2 linked regions of the Caenorhabditis elegans genome follow. The protein of the gene in region 1 purifies or fractionates together with the protein of each later gene. This does not show direct contact. Each region holds a gene or a part of one and is shown in the gene's direction. Other genes may lie near its edges.

Evidence for each region. Proteins that work in one complex are often made in the same cells at the same time.
Region 2: the proteins of ttr-11 (region 1) and ina-1 purify together in Caenorhabditis elegans (affinity purification with western blotting; one study listed by BioGRID). This does not show direct contact.

Annotation. Positions count from the first base shown.
Region 1 is NC_003283.11:20,600,885-20,606,888, forward strand, and holds ttr-11 (Transthyretin-like family protein), read left to right. Parts: upstream 1-2,429; 5' UTR 2,430-2,481; coding exon 2,482-2,490; intron 2,491-2,536; coding exon 2,537-2,669; intron 2,670-3,043; coding exon 3,044-3,123; intron 3,124-3,167; coding exon of another isoform or gene 3,168-3,243; intron 3,244-3,383; coding exon 3,384-3,494; 3' UTR 3,495-3,544; downstream 3,545-6,004. Other genes in the region: col-163 (Col_cuticle_N domain-containing protein), read left to right, coding at 1-1,170, 1,228-1,392, 1,447-1,590; ttr-57 (TransThyretin-Related family domain), read left to right, coding at 4,334-4,453, 4,619-4,698, 4,745-4,814; F46B3.23 (Neuropeptide-Like Protein), read right to left, coding at 5,543-5,691, 5,735-5,822.
Region 2 is NC_003281.10:9,165,810-9,175,600, reverse strand, and holds ina-1 (Integrin alpha ina-1), read left to right. Parts: upstream 1-2,798; 5' UTR 2,799-2,863; coding exon 2,864-3,018; intron 3,019-3,217; coding exon 3,218-3,328; intron 3,329-3,395; coding exon 3,396-3,549; intron 3,550-3,658; coding exon 3,659-3,844; intron 3,845-3,966; coding exon 3,967-5,228; intron 5,229-5,342; coding exon 5,343-5,525; intron 5,526-5,668; coding exon 5,669-6,590; intron 6,591-6,645; coding exon 6,646-6,904; intron 6,905-7,052; coding exon 7,053-7,240; 3' UTR 7,241-7,528; downstream 7,529-9,791. Other genes in the region: dgk-3 (putative diacylglycerol kinase 3), read right to left, coding at 7,574-7,641, 7,693-7,793, 7,939-8,033, 8,076-8,282, 8,327-8,482, 8,572-9,246, 9,484-9,593, 9,639-9,719 and 1 more. UniProt on the Caenorhabditis elegans protein: Plays a role in cell migration, axon fasciculation, and morphogenesis. During gonad morphogenesis, involved in distal tip cell (DTC)-mediated guidance of gonad elongation, in maintaining their sharp tapering morphology and in their migration.

The DNA of each region.
Region 1 (6,004 bases):
TTTCCCACATTCTGTGTTACATGCCCAGCAGGGCCAGATGGAACGCCCGGCCAGCCTGGAGGAACTGGAAAGCCAGGTCTTGGTGGGGCTCCTGGTATTCTTGGTCCAATGGGAAAAAACGGACAGCCGGGAGCTCCTGGAGGCTACGGAAGTCCTGGAAAACAAGGATCCATGGGATCGCGTGGTGTTGCTGGAAATGTTGGGCAAGATGGTGTTGTACTTTTGAATACTAAAGGTCCCAAGGGACCATCTGGAAAGCATGGAACAGAAGGACAACCTGGAGAGGATGGAACCAACAATAACACACCAGGGCCTATTGGCCCACCTGGGTTACCTGGAAGTCCTGGAGCTCCAGGAGCTGCAGGAATTCGTGGAAAACGTGGAGAATTTGGAGTTCAAGGACAGAAGGGCGTCGATTCGAAAGAATGCACTTGCGAATCTCTGATGAAAGAATCCATTGTAAGCGCGGAGAACTTGGCTTACCTGGCAGTGGAGGCCCAATCACAAGCTATGGGACACCAGATTGATCTGAAAGCTTCTGAAATTCGTCGAACACAGCAAAAAGCTTCTGGTCTGGCTTCAGGGCTTCCGACACTCAATGAACTTCGGAATAAGTATCAAAAAGGAGCGGTGACATTTGCTCAAGAGGACAGCACTATTCAAAAGTTTGCAGTAGCGCCGAGTGATGTTTCGATTTCAGAAACGGAAGAGTTGCTTCCTGCTTCCAATTTTGAAAGCCCCGCCGCCGAAAAATCTGACGAATCTACGTTTGCAGCGGAATCTGAGGATTCAGAGACTATCGATGAACCTATGGTTCCTCCGAAAGCTCAATTTCCAGCCACATTTGCGATCGCTCAGGCTGTCACATCTGAGAACTCTGACACATCAGTTTCGGATCCCGAGCCTTTAGATTCTGGGACAGGGCATTCTCGTCCAGCTTTGTTTGCTCCTCCAAGAGCTCAATTACCGTCGCAGTCGGTGCCTAAAGCACAGGCTCACGGAGCTAAAAGTCATTCACGTGGTAGTGGGGAGAGCAAAAAGAAGTCTGCTCCTTTAAACGGCAACACTGAAATAGTCAAGAAGACACGTGGATCTGGATCCACGAAGAGACGGAGAGTGGTGAAAGTGAAAAGGGTTCCGTATAGACATCCGGCATTCAGAGTTTTTTCGGTAAGATCCCATAGTAATGACTTCCCATTCTTTCAAAACTTAAAATAAAATTTCCAGACCACAAACGAGAAGTTCGCTATGAGTATGGATGAAGGGGAACGAGGCTTCCGGGCTGAAAAGGAAATTGCTCGAGAATCAGAGAAAAAGGTGGTAAATCTCAGAGAAATCCGAAGATCTCCGAAGAAGCTGAGAAGAAAGCTGAAGCCGGGGAAGACTGAGAAGGTAATTTTATTTAAGGCACTACATGTAATCCCGAATGTACATTCACTTTTTTAGAAGCTCCGCCGAGTACGTGTAAAGCCATCAAAAAGTCTTGCAGACCAGCAGCGACAGAATTCGAACATTTTGGAAAATATTGCCGAAAGTTTGGGACTCATCGAGAATCATCCCGCAAAAATGAGTAGAGTTGCAATTCCATAGGAACCGGACAAGATTTTGTTGTTACTAATAAATGTTGTGTTAAAGAAAATGTATAATAAATATTTTCATATTATTTATGGGATAAGTTAACATTTAAGACTAAATTTGCAGTAAACATCTATGGCTTACTGACAGTGAAGTAACTATAGAGAAGCTTTTTGAAACCGGCTTCCTCGGGTTTCGCTGTTGCACTTCAATTTCACCGAGATCGAGAAAAAAATTATAGTTGAGATTAGGGTTCCCATGCGGCCGCCGCGCCGGCCTCACGGCGTCACACACGTCGCATGTACCAAATACATAGTGCGGCGCGGAACCCCGAACGCGGCTAAAAAAAGCTGGTAGATTCTGGATTTGATATGTTATCATTTTCGTAATTCTCGCTCACCGCAGGCCTCCTGCCTGATTTGTGTCTTTTTGTAGGGAGTTGTAAATCTATTCAAAAAGGGTTCCCACAAGGAAGGACAATCTATACCAGTACTATATGTGTCATTAGGTTGTAAACATGGGCCTCTTTGTGGAATGGGTGGCGCTGTGTTGGCGGCTAGATGTATCTCCCTTCAAAGAGAATGTGACATTGCGAGTGAAAAGGAGAATATGAGAAAAATATACCCTGCAGGTGATTGACAAAGAAATTGGATGAGGTAGTGAACATTTACATTTCATAATACGTATCCGCCGGAGTATGCCTTTTTTGGTGCTATTATAATCTGACAGGAGCATGGCATATGAAAAATAGAAAAGCAAAGATGATTTGATTTGAAAACTTATGAAATAATTGGCTCACGTGGATTTTAATTTTTTTTGCATTGAAATTGAAATTCAAAACTCAAATTTCAAAAAAAAAATCCTTTCGAATTTTGTCCACAAAAATTTCGAATCTTTGCAAAGAAAATGAACGCGGTATGTGACTTTTCAGAAATTTTTCTCCGAACTTCAGGGTTTTCAGACAATTTTTCTCGTGGTTCTTCTCATCAATTACGCTGCGGCTTCCACGGGATCCGTACATATCCGTGGACGACTTTTGTGCAATGGAAGACCGTATGCTCGCGAGAAAATTCAAATTTGGGAGAAAAACTTTGGTGAGAGAGTTACAGAGTGGGAGTACAAAGAGGAGACGCGCTACAGTTGCGTCACGATTTCCAACCAATTTGCAACAAAACCTAAACTCGTTTAACCCGATTTTGTTTTCTGAGTGTAGTTACAATGTGGGAGTACGGTAGATAGACGCGCCGCGGGTGTTTAGCGGTTCTTGAAATTCGACGCTCTTTATTCATTCTCATGTCTGATACAAAATGGGAAAACGCAGCATAGACGCACAGCTGCTGCGTCACGGTTTTACAAGTTATACTTCGAAATGCTAATCGCGACACAGGCGCATTTTTTTTTGAAGAGTTACAAAATGGGAGTACAAAACATGGACGCTTTGGGAGTTACTTTAATTTTTGAATTTCAGCGTTGGCCGACACTATGCTTATTCATGCAGTCACTGATAATGACGGATACTTTGACTTGCAAGGATCTATCACTGAAACTGTAATGTTTCTATTTTTTGAATCTGAACCAACGAGATATTCTAGATGATGTCACCACTTCTGTACGCGTATTTTGTGAACTATTGTAAGCCATCGTTCAACTGGCTCCGAGTAAAGTGTGGTAACTCCGTCAAAGTTTATATCCCAGCCGAGTATATTGCTGATGGACATATTCCTAAACGCGCGAGTCAAAAAATGCTGAAACAAAAATGACGCGCGTCACACGCGAAAAAAACAAAACATCTTAATCTGGAATTTCAGACCTTCGACCTCCACGAAACTGAAGTTTCAACGGCTTACACTGTCAAACTCGGCCTTGAACAAGTCGTTAACTTGTTTTTCAATCACAAAGAATGTCGTCCTTCTGGGTAATTGTATGGAACTAGAAAAGTCTGAAATAATGAATCTGTTATGTATGTGAAGTATTATGATATTTAATTTTCAATAGTGCCAGTTTGTGGACGGACTTATAAACTGAGCCAACTACAAAGTCCGTGCCACCCCCACTGTGTTTTCATATAACTCGTGGCCAATTTCTTTGATGTCAACTTCATGTCGAGAGCCTGGAAGCGAAAATGCTGAAAATCAGAATGTGGACAATGATGGATGCTCGGATTGCGCTAGTTCACAAAAAACAGGCGGACTGACGCGTTTCTATTATAGCTTGTAATTTGACGACGGATCTTATATTGCATTCACGTTATTAACGCTGCTCGCCGGCGACGGCGCAAGTTTTACACGCCGCCGGCGTCGGCAGCGGCGCAAGCTTTACACACCGCTGCCAGCGGTAGCGGATTTTTATTGCGCGTCCGGCGGCGCATTTTATTTCGAGATGCGCCGCCGCCTGCTCAACTGTTTAACCCTGATGTCGCCGGCGGCGGCGCAGCGGCGGCACAAGCCTTATTTGCCGATGCCGGCTCACGTTTTTTGAAATGCGCCGTCGCTGCCGGCGTTATTTTGAACCCTAGTTTCTGTACTGAAATTTGAATTCAAATATTTAGTATTGATTTGAAAATTTTTGAAAAAAATAGGGGCTCACGTGGAGTTTTTTTTAAAAGAAAACAAACCAAATTCAAATTCAAAATTGAAAAAAGAATCATTTCGAATTTTATCCAAAATTTTTTCGAATCCTCGAAAAAGCAGTATGAACGCGATATGGGATTTTTCAGATCTTTTCCTCAAAATTTCAAGGTTTTCAGATAATTTGCTTCATGATTCTTCTCATCAAGCTCGCCACCGCTGACACGGGAGCCGCCCACGTTCGTGGACAACTTTTGTGCCATGGAAAACCATATGCAGGCCAGAAAGTGCAACTTTGGGAAAAAATTATGGTACGAAAATAACAATGTGGGAGTACAGGCACGCACGGTTTCTAAAAACTTCAAACTTTAGATATGTAACCGCAAAATTTCTACTAGTTCTTTCATTTGTTATAGTTACAAAGTAGGAGTACGGAACATGGACGCGCCTCTGCTACTTAAATCTATAACTTTCAGCGTTGCCGGATACCTTGGTTGCTTATGGAGAGACTGATAAAAACGGATACTTTTCCTTGGAAGGATCAATCTCTGAAACGGTAATTTTTTTCTATATTTTCATTCTGAAACACTAAAATATTTCAGATTGTGTCACCAATTCTGTACGCGTACTTTGTCAACTATTGTGAGCCATCGTTCAGTATTTTTGGAGTAGTTTGTGGTAACTCCGTCAAAGTTTTTCTTCCCAACCAGTTTATCACTGAGGGACATCTTCCTCAACACGTAAGTTTGCATTTAGTTGCGTTGCGATTGCGTTGCGGTTGCGTTGCGATTGCGTTGCGGTTGCGTTGCGATTGCGTTGCGGTTGCGTTGCGGTTGCGTTGCGGTTGCGTTGCGGTTGCGTTGCGGTTGAGTTGCGGTTGCGTTGCGGTTGCGTTGCGGTTGCGTTGCGGTTGCGTTGCGGTTGCGTTGCGGTTGCGTTGCGGTTGCGTTGCGGTTGCGTTGCGATTGCGTTGCGGTTGCGTTGCGGTTGCGTTGCGGTTGCGTTGCGGTTGCGTTGCGGTTGCGTTGCGGTTGCGTTGCGGTTGCGTTGCGATTGCGTTGCGATTGCGTTGCGGTTGCGTTGCGGTTGCGTTGCGGTTGCGTTGCGGTTGCGTTGCGGTTGCGTTGCGGTTGCGTTGCGGTTGCGTTGCGGTTGCGTTGCGGTTGCGTTGCGGTTGCGTTGCGGTTGCGTTGCGGTTGCGTTGCGGTTGCGTTGCGGTTGCGGTTGCTTTCTGTTTTAAAACTCGTGAAATCTTCAATTTTCAGGTGTTCAACCTTCACGAAACGGAAGTTTCCACGGCTACAACAGATAAACTTGGCCTCGAGCAAGTCTTCTACTCATTTATCAATCATAAAGAATGCCGCTAGGTTTCTGTAGAAGTATATGGAATAATAAATCTTTCATGTAAAGTTATAATTAATTTTCAATGGGGAATACTGGTGTCGGCGGTGCCGAAATTTCGGTGCCGGTTTGTCGACGGGCTCATAAATGGCATCAATTGCAACACCAGTGTCTACTTCTGAGTCGTCATATAGTTTGTGGTCAATTTCTAAAAAAAAGTTTCAAAAAACCATTTAAAAAAATTCACGTACCTGCCCATCCATTTTCTGCAGATATAATAATTCCGAGAAGATTAAAGAACATAAAAATTTGAAGAAATATATTAGATGTAGATTTCATGTTTAGAGTCTGAAAATAAAAAGGTTGAAAATCAGAATGTTCTAGGTGAAAAAAGTGGTTCAAGGAAGTCAGAGATAAGGGAAAAAGCTTAAAAATGTAGTGTGACGTCTTCTGACGGGGTGGTAAAAGTGCATTTTTCTGAGACATTGGTCAGTCAAAAACAAAAAAAATTCGTTGAACAG
Region 2 (9,791 bases), on another chromosome or scaffold:
GTCAGCTTTTATGATTTTGTGAATTGATTTTGTTTTCGTTTCAAATTCAATCAGTGATTATGGTATTTCGAAAAGTTTGATAAATTTTGTTACAAAACTTTTACAAAAACTTTACCATAAGGAAAGTTAATAGTAAAACATTTCTAGAAATTGCCACCATTTTTTTTTGGAATTTTAATAAATTCGACATCTCGAATGTTAAAAATGTTTCAGATGTAGTGGATATTTTGGTTTGAAACATTCAAATTTTTGGAATGTTTTGAAATTTTCAGAAATTAAAAAAAAAGAAAACTCTCCATCTTTTCTCTAATCAAAAATAAAAAAGGTTCTATGAATTTTTTTTGGTAATTTATGGGCAGTTGTCGGTTCTCTCTGTTTCACCCGTCACACTTCTTCCAATTTTCATATGCAGATTTTAGACGGGGGGCTTTTGCAATTTCTTTTTACGCAATTCCATTCCTTCTTTCCTTTTTCTCAGCTTTTTACTCAGTTTGTGTTCCATCTTTTTTTTGGAATTTTTCGGTCGCAGTTCAAATCAAAATCTAAACTCAATTTGGAATAGTCCTCATATTTTGAATTTTCATTCAAATTTTTTCGGAAAAATTCTCAAAAATTCTTTTGGTGACTTTGTCTGTCATATCCACTTGAATACCGCAATGGATACTGACATTTCAAGGTTGTATGAATGTCCTCTATATGTGTTGGATATAGATTCATATGTATGCATGTTTTGGTTTTTCATTGTTTCTTATTTCTGTATGCGTCACCTTTTTTTCATCTTTTGTATAATGTTGGAGATTATGCAAGCGATATATTATATAACAATTGTATACTGTGACGGAATTATAATGGATTTGAAAGCTAGCTTGACTATCAAGACTGTGAAGGTTGCGTAGAATTATTTTTTCAACGTTTCAAGAAATTTATGATAGAAACTACTGGCAATCTCTAATTTCCTGTCATTTCCAGCAATTTTCAAATCTACCTATATTTTGAAAATTTAACAAATTTCACCTTGTTTTCTATTATCCAGATAGTACTTTTTTGAAGAAAATCTTTCAAACCGGTGAGGTTTAAAATAGAAATTTTGAAATAAAATATCGAAATTTTCCATTCTGAATCGTGGTAACTTTCTGTACTCTCAAATAGTTTTAAGACGTTTTTCTCCAACAAATACTTGTTCTTCGAACGATATTCGAGCTTAAGACACAACGCTCCATATATATCTAGACTCCCCACTCCCATAAATTGAGAACCGCAGTACTGCTTTATAGTCTCGGAATTTCTGTTTTGTCTGGCGAATCGGAGGTTTTGTCTGGATGAGTTAATTGAAACATTCATCGTGCTCTTCTTCTCCGCTTCTTCTCTTCTTTTGCTCTTCCCGTCCGTCACTTGTATACTAAAAAGAGCAGAAAACGCAAGAGAGGCACACGTTTTGCTTCCATTCTTCGCACCCAATTGAATGCCTTCGCGTTGTGCTCTGAATCTTTTTTGCAAAAGAGGAGAAAGAGTGTTCACATATCTGATGAATTGAGAGTGAGCAGCGGGCTCCATTTTCACTTTTTTGCCGTTTCTAGCACCATATCTCTCCAGGGGATCGCGTATCAAAAATTCTCAGAGCGGTCTTTTGATGAAAAGCATCTAATTTGAAGTGGCCGGAAACTTATTCATTGGTTAGCTGGGAAAGTTTTCCTTTTTTTCGGAATTGTTCAGAATTAGAAAAAAAAATCTGAAACTCAATAGCGAAATTTCTGATTAGTTCATACATCATTTCACCTAGGATTAAGCATACTTTCTACAAACCGAAAACCACGAATTTATTTACAACTAGCCTCTTCTTCTGTATTTGTAATTTTTATTTCAAATTTATCAGTAAAAATTTTGGAAGTATTCCAAATTTTTAATAAACTAATTCTTTTTTCCAGATTTGCAGCACTGCAATTTTCAATTACAGATAATTTAAACATGAGTAAAATGAAAATTTATAGACAAAATCTTTTTTCTGTTGAGTTCCAAAAACTTTTTGACTATAGAAATTGCAAAATTATTTTTTAGAATTTTTTACTGTGGTGTTTGTTCATTGTGCATTAAAATAATTCTACACAGTTTCCAGTAATGCAAGTGCAGTTTCCAAAAAAATTCATGAAAAATTTACTGATCTGAACAATCAATTGATAATATACTAAAAATGTACATGTGTTGGCATTTTGTCTCATAGTCTATTCCTCTCTTTCAATATAATTCTCTATCATGCCCATCAATTTAATGTGTTCCCCTCGCCGTGTCGTCTGTGATCGTTACATTTTTTCCATATCATATCAAGGTCTTTCATCCTTCTAGTTCCCAATTTCACGATTGACCAACAGTTACGGGGTCAACAAGGCGGACTTTCTTTACCAAAAAGTTCTAAAAGTGCATCTTATGAATTTTTGAGAAGATGGCTCTGCACTTTCTGACAGATGCACACCACCTGCGTCTCCAATTTCATTTCGACCTTCTTGATTTCAATTCTATCAATTCAGTTGATATGAGTCACACCGTGTGATTCATCATTATATAAACCCCCGCAAAAACAATTAATATAAGTTTTTTCCCGTTGATCTGAAAATGAAAACACCTCTGGTGTGTAATATTTTTCAGATTCTTCTTTTCGGCTTTTGCTCCATTTGCTTTCATGTTTTACGATTTTTTGGAAAATTTTTCTCTAAAAAAATCTGGATTTTGAACTTTCCCTCTTTCAGCTGTCTTCTTGATTTTGTCCATTTCAAAATTCAACTTTCTAATTCCCAAATTTTCAGTCATTATTCCTCGAACGTACATGAGCAACAACTAACAGAACGAGAGAAAGCTCACCCGCCGAAACATGCGTGAATGTATAATTAGCTGGACACTACTCCTATGTCTCAGCTGTGTCAAATCGTTTAATCTCGATGTGAATGCTCCGATCTACAGGTATGGTCCCAGTGGGACCAACTTTGGATATTCCGTTGCTGAACATTTCAAAGGGGATAAGCCTGTGTAAGTAGATTTTTTTTTTAATTTCATCACAAAAAACAGTAAAGCTTGAGCAAAAGTTACTCAGCTTATGTTAAGGCTTAAATTTAGGTTTAGCCTTATGATTAGGCCTAGTCTCAGGCTTCCTGCTAAAGTTTTGCCCAAGCGTGATAGTTTTAGTTTTTGATGAAAACAGCGATTAACGCGTTCTTTCAAATTTCAGAATGCTGATCGGAGCTCCACGTGGCGAGTCTGGGCAAACGGGTACCGAACGAGCGGGTGCAATGTACGCGTGTGATATTAACACATTTTATAATGGTGGATCAAATCACTGGTGAGTACACATTTGAAAGAATGAGAGATATGAGGGAACGACTGATGATTGATGAGAATGAATTCAGGTGTGAACAGGTGCGATTTGAGTATGAAAACGTTGAGGATTATGCGAAACGACCCAACGAAACACGTGGCAGAACGGTGCATCCATTGGGAAAGAATGATCAGTTGTTGGCCTCAACGATTGTTTCGAAAGGAACAAAGAATGGTAGTGCTTTGGTGAGTAAAAAACTTTAATTTTCTGTGTTTAAAACCTTGGGATTTTGGCCTCTGGTGCTCCTTGCGTACTCACAGTACTCTTTATGCTTTCTGAATCAAGTATTTATAGGTGTGTGCTCCATTAATACGTTACCATCAAACTGCTGCATATCCACAAGGAGCTTGCTATGAACTTGAATCGAACCTTCGTCTTCAATCAACATACGCAACTTGTGCTCAAAAGAATCTTCCAACAACAGATCGTCACAACGAGTATGGAGGATGTATGGAAGGATTTTCAGCAGCAATTACTCAGGTAATTTTCATTCAACAAATAGAATGAAATCACTGAAGTTTAGTTTTGTGTTAATTTTAAAAAGATATTTTGATGAATATTTTTGAGTCGAAAGCATTTTTTAAATATTGCTAAAATTTTAGGATACCATCGTGACCGGACTCATTGGAGCTGTAAAATGGACTGGTGGTGTTTTTGCAAAGAAATCGTCAGCAAACATTTTCGATTCAGTCGTTGAAAAATACACAATGAATCAACCAAATGGAGATATGATTCGTACACGATTAGTTGCACATGATTATCTTGGATATTCTGTAGATATTGGAAGATTCGGTTTTTGGTATGAAGATGGAAAACCGATAACCGTAGTCTCAGGAGCTACAAGATACGGAGAACATGGAGCTGTAATATTCCTCCCGTTTATTCAAGATTCAAGTTCAAAACTTACTCTGAATGAAGACAAATTTATTATTAATGGAACTGCAATGGGATCTGCATTTGGGTATTCGATTGAAGTTGTTGACTTGAATGGAGATGGATTTGATGATCTAATTGTTGGAGCACCATTTGAACATCGATCTGGAATTGATGGAAACTTTGGAGGAATCGTCTATGTTTACTTTTCTCAAGGAGTTCAGAGAAAACAACATGAATCTCATCTAGTCTTCCACCCACCAAAGATTCTAAAGAATCCAGATTTCTACTCACAATTTGGACTTTCAATTACTAAATTGGGAAATGTAGACGGAGATAAAAGTAAACTCAACGACTTTGCAGTTGGTGCTCCATTTGCATTTGATGGAGCTGGAGCAGTTTATATTTATCTTGGAACTAAAAACATTGAAAAGTTCCGAAAGAAACCGGCTCAAGTGATAAAAGGAAATGATCTTCCAAATCTTCCGCCAGGTGGAATGAGATCATTTGGATTCTCACTTTCTGGAGGTTCTGATATGGATGAGAATGGATATCCCGATCTTCTCATTGGATCTCCTTCGAAGAATTTTGTTGCATTGCTTCGTTCTAGACCAGTAATAAGTATTGAGACCAAGCACAAAATGGAGAAGAGAATGGTTGATATCGACAAAGGTGTCAATTGTCCACGTGGAGCAAAGACTTGTTTCCCGCTTGATATGGTGATCTATGTGGATGAGGAAACAAAGAGAGGCGCCGAACTTGTCGATTTCTCATCTGATGTATTTATGTGTAATCTGGAAGCTATTCCATTTAGAGCTGACACAACGGCAAGAGGATTCATTGAAGGAAGTCATTCACACAATTATAGTTGGCCATGTGGAAGTAATAGTCACGTACAGAAACGAACTTACCGGCAGCTAATCTATTTGCCAGTTCAAGAATCAAAAGATTGGATTACACCTTTGAAGTTTAGATTTACTGTCAGCATTCGGTAGGTCAAGTTGTCTCGAAATCCCTTGAAAAAGTTGTTTCCTAAATTGTATTGTTAGACTCAAAACTCAAAAACCATGATATCATAATCAGAACTCAAATTCTCACATTTCAGAAACGAAAAGAAGCCTGTGCAACCACCACAAGGAAGCCAATTGGTCGACTTGAAGCACTACCCAGTCCTCAACAAATATGGTGCATCATATGAGTTTGATGTTCCATTCAATACGCTTTGCGGAGAAGATCACACTTGTCAGACTGATTTGTCATTGAAAGCCGCCTTCAAGGATATTCCACTGTAAGACTTTAAGATATTTTAGCGCTCAGAACTTGTGAGACAGCACTGTATTTACACCGAAAGTTTTTTAGAATATAGTAATCAAACTTCTTTTTTAAAATTCCAAATCAAAAGTCAACCCCACGTATGTTTTTTGCTTTCAGAACATCAAATGGATACGTTTCAAATGTCGGCGAAAAGGATTATCTGGACTTGACATTCACTGTGGAAAACAAGAAAGAAAAGGCTTATCAAGCGAATTTTTATCTAGAATATAATGAAGAAGAGCTTGAACTTCCACAAGTTCAAGGTTCCAAGAGAATGATTGCTGAAACAATTGGAAAGAATATTGTGCATTTGCCACTTGGAAATCCAATGAATGGAGCATCAAAACATCAATTTACGATCCAATTCAAATTGACTCGTGGAAGAACTGAAGGAATTGGAAAGGCACTCAAATTCATGGCACATGTCAATTCCACGTCACAAGAAACCGAGGAAGAGTTGAAAGATAATAAATGGGAAGCTGAAGTTCAGATTATCAAGAAGGCAGAGCTGGAGATCTATGGAATCAGTGACCCTGATAGAGTATTCTTTGGAGGAAAAGCAAGAGCAGAGTCTGAATTGGAATTGGAAGAAGATATTGGAACAATGGTTAGACATAACTATACAATTATTAATCATGGTCCATGGACTGTTCGAAATGTGGAAGCACACATTTCTTGGCCTTATCAACTCCGTTCTAGGTTTGGAAGAGGAAAGAATGCTCTCTATCTATTGGATGTACCGACTATTACAACAGAATTCACAGATGGAACAAGTGAAGTTAGAAAGTGTTTCATCAAACAACAGTACGAATATGTGAATCCTGCAGAAATTAAATTGAACACTAAATATAGTACTCAAGAGACTGCTCCACATCGGGTAGAGCATAGAATGAAAAGAGAAATTGATGAGGATGAGGAAGAACAATCAGATGATCTAGGAGCCGTGGAAGAGAATATTCCTTGGTTCTCAACAGCTAATTTCTGGAATCTTTTTGCAATTAAAGGAGGTGATGGACGACCTAGAGAAGTTAAACATTTGGTAAGTCCCTAGATTACAGTTTATTTGATTGATTTTTGATAAATGAATATTTCAGAGCTGCCAAGACAACACTGCCAATTGTTTCACCGTCATTTGCCACTTCGATTTCATCGATGCCAATTCTGCAGTAGTCATTGATTTACGTGCAAGACTCTGGAATGCAACGTTCATTGAGGATTATTCAGATGTTGAAAGTGTGAAGATCCGATCGTTCGGAAAACTTCAATTAGACGAATCACAAGGAATTGATGACGATCCGAATAACAATGCAGCTTTCGTTGAAACATCTGCTGATCCTGATAGGCCTACAATTGGTGGGTTTTTTGAAATGAGACCAACTTTAATATCTAATCATTTTAAAGTGATATACTAGTACGAATGTATTCATAAAAAATCATTGTTGAGGATATTCTAGCTTTAAAAGACATGCTCAAACCCCCAACTTTACCTTAATTTTTTCAGGAGACTCTCGACCTATCCCGTGGTGGATATACGTCATTGCAGCTGTTATTGGTGTTCTCATTTTGTCACTAATTATAATTTGTCTTTCAAAATGTGGTTTCTTCAAACGAAATCGTTTGGATCAGCCATCATTATACACTGCTCAACTCAAACATGAACGAGAAGAATGGGCTGATACGGGACTTTAGATGCCTCTTTATTTCTTTTTTCGACTGGATCTCTGTGATGTTTTATTCACTTTGTTTGTTTCCATTTATGTGATACCATTTTCCTGTTTTGTTCCCTCAATGATTTTCCTCCCAACTTCACTTTAAACATTTAAGTTTTTTTTAAATATTTAAATGTATGACATTTTTCAAATCTTGTAGTCAAGTTTATTGAAACCATCTTGACAAATATTTCACCGGTGCCATTTTCATGTTTTTTGTCAAACAAAAAGTGCTATAATTATTAATAAATTATTTTCAATTCCCTCATTCAAATTATAGAAATTGTGTATATAAATGAAATTTTTTAAAAAATCAGTTATCGTCATTTGTGGACTGTCGTTTGAGAAGCATCCAGGAGCTTCGTTTTCGTGGAGCTGCAGCTGTGAATAAAAAGAAATTAATCGACAACTCGAGGATATGACGAAACTCACCAACAAGCATTTTTGCTTGGTTTTTGTGTGTGATTTGAATGATGCAAGGAGGTTGCATCCATGGTTCCCCGTCAATTTGCATGGGAAATGATTTGTGTGTTCTGGAAATGAACAAAATTTTTGTTAAAGTAACGGCATTACAGAAAACCATTTGAAAGTATCAGAATTACTCAAAAATTGATTTTTTTTTTCAAATTCAACGATGTCCTAGTTATATTCCCACATTAATTCCATTTAAAAACTAACTGAATCACAACAGTTGAACATTGAGAAAGCCGTCTTGCTCCACGTACACCCGCTTTAATCTGTCCCATTTGCATTGCTGACTCCAATCCAACTAACTGAAACTTTTGGTTTGTTTTTGGAAGGATTTCATCTTAAACCTCAATGAGACCATCTCCAATATCTTGAACTCTTGTCTGTAATTGCATTTTCTCGGCATTTTTCATTGGGAACAGCCCAGGCATTCTTCCTTTAGATTTTCGACTCCTTCCCCATAAATTAGATCCTCCGTAAATTGATGGAATATTCAAAAGAGCAATTCCTTCAAGTGATGCATCTTGTCCAAGATCGATTGATTCTCCATCGCACTGAAAATTGGAAGTATTTTACTATAATATTTTTAAGAACTTACCAAAATATCAATTTGCTCGTGTAAGTTCTTGCAAGAACTTGATAGGGTCTCACTTGTACCTAACTCAAAGTACCACAACTTGTTTCGCATCCGGCTATTGAACTTTTCAGGAAACTTTTCTCTCATCACATGGAATCGGTGAGCAATTGAGGCGTCCTGAAATTTTTTTTGTATTTTTTTATGTTCAAATTTAGGTTTTTGGTAAGATTATTTAGTTTTTCAATAAAATATTTAAAATAACTCACCACTCCAATAGAAAAATAATTATTAATGATACTGTATGGTGGTGTATCTCCTTTTTCACTTGCTCTTCTTGCACTTTTATTCTCTGTTATTTCTATTTTAATCTGCCATCGATCCATATCAATTAGACTTGATTTTTCAATTTGTTCCAATATTTTATGCAAATTCTCATTTTCATATCCACCACCCCATCGAAGACATCTTGCCAAATCATTTCCAGTTCCCAATGGTAAAACTGCGACGGGTGGTCTTCCATGTGGAAATGTCATTTTATCCATTGATTCCAATACCCATCCAATTGTTCCATCACCTCCACATACCAAAATGTTACAGTTTTTCAAAGTGGAAAATAATTGAAGTCCTGGTTCAGGGCCAGTTTTACTCAAATCATAGACCTGTCTTGGATTGAGAAGATATTCAAATTTCTGTAGAATCTTGACTCCTTGTTTCCCACCACTTTTCGGATTGACAAGAACTAGGAGAGGACGACAATCATTGCTAGGAGATACGGCCTGAAGGAGACTGGCACTGTGGGAGCTGAAGTTGTGATTTTTCAGCGATGTTGAAGTTTTACGTTCCAGAAATGCAGGAAATATATGCGTTGGTGGGAGAATATGGTGGACTAAAGCACCGAGATCACACTCTTGAGCAAGTGCAGACATACATCTATGATGAACCTGGAAAAATATATAGGTACCCGGGGGTAAAGCAAACATGAACACGAGATTTTATGTAAACTTTTGAATACTCAATTCTCAGCAAAACTGTATAAAATTGTGCAAAATTAATCAGTAAATTTGAACAAAAAAGTCGAATTCTTTCCGTTTTTGGAAAATAGAAATTCAAAGTATGAGGTTCAAAATATATGGAAATTATTTTCCCAAAACTACAGGAACCGTATATCAAAAACCTACATAATTATGACACCACCGACACCCTTTCCCTTGAAAAACTCCGACTGTTGCTTTGCATTTGACACATTTAGCGGTTGCATTTGCATCTTGCCAGTGATGATATAGTTTGTCTGAAAATCATTTGCTAACCTAGGGCTTGTTTTATTTAACCGTACCTTGCTGTCTACTTGAATAAGTTCGAATGCAATTTGTGGCAGCCGATCTGACACATCTTTCATGAACCGTGTATTTGCATACTGTAACATTAATGATCTAGATGAACAATCAAAAAAAAACTTACATGAACAACTGAGCCCTTGCTTTCCACC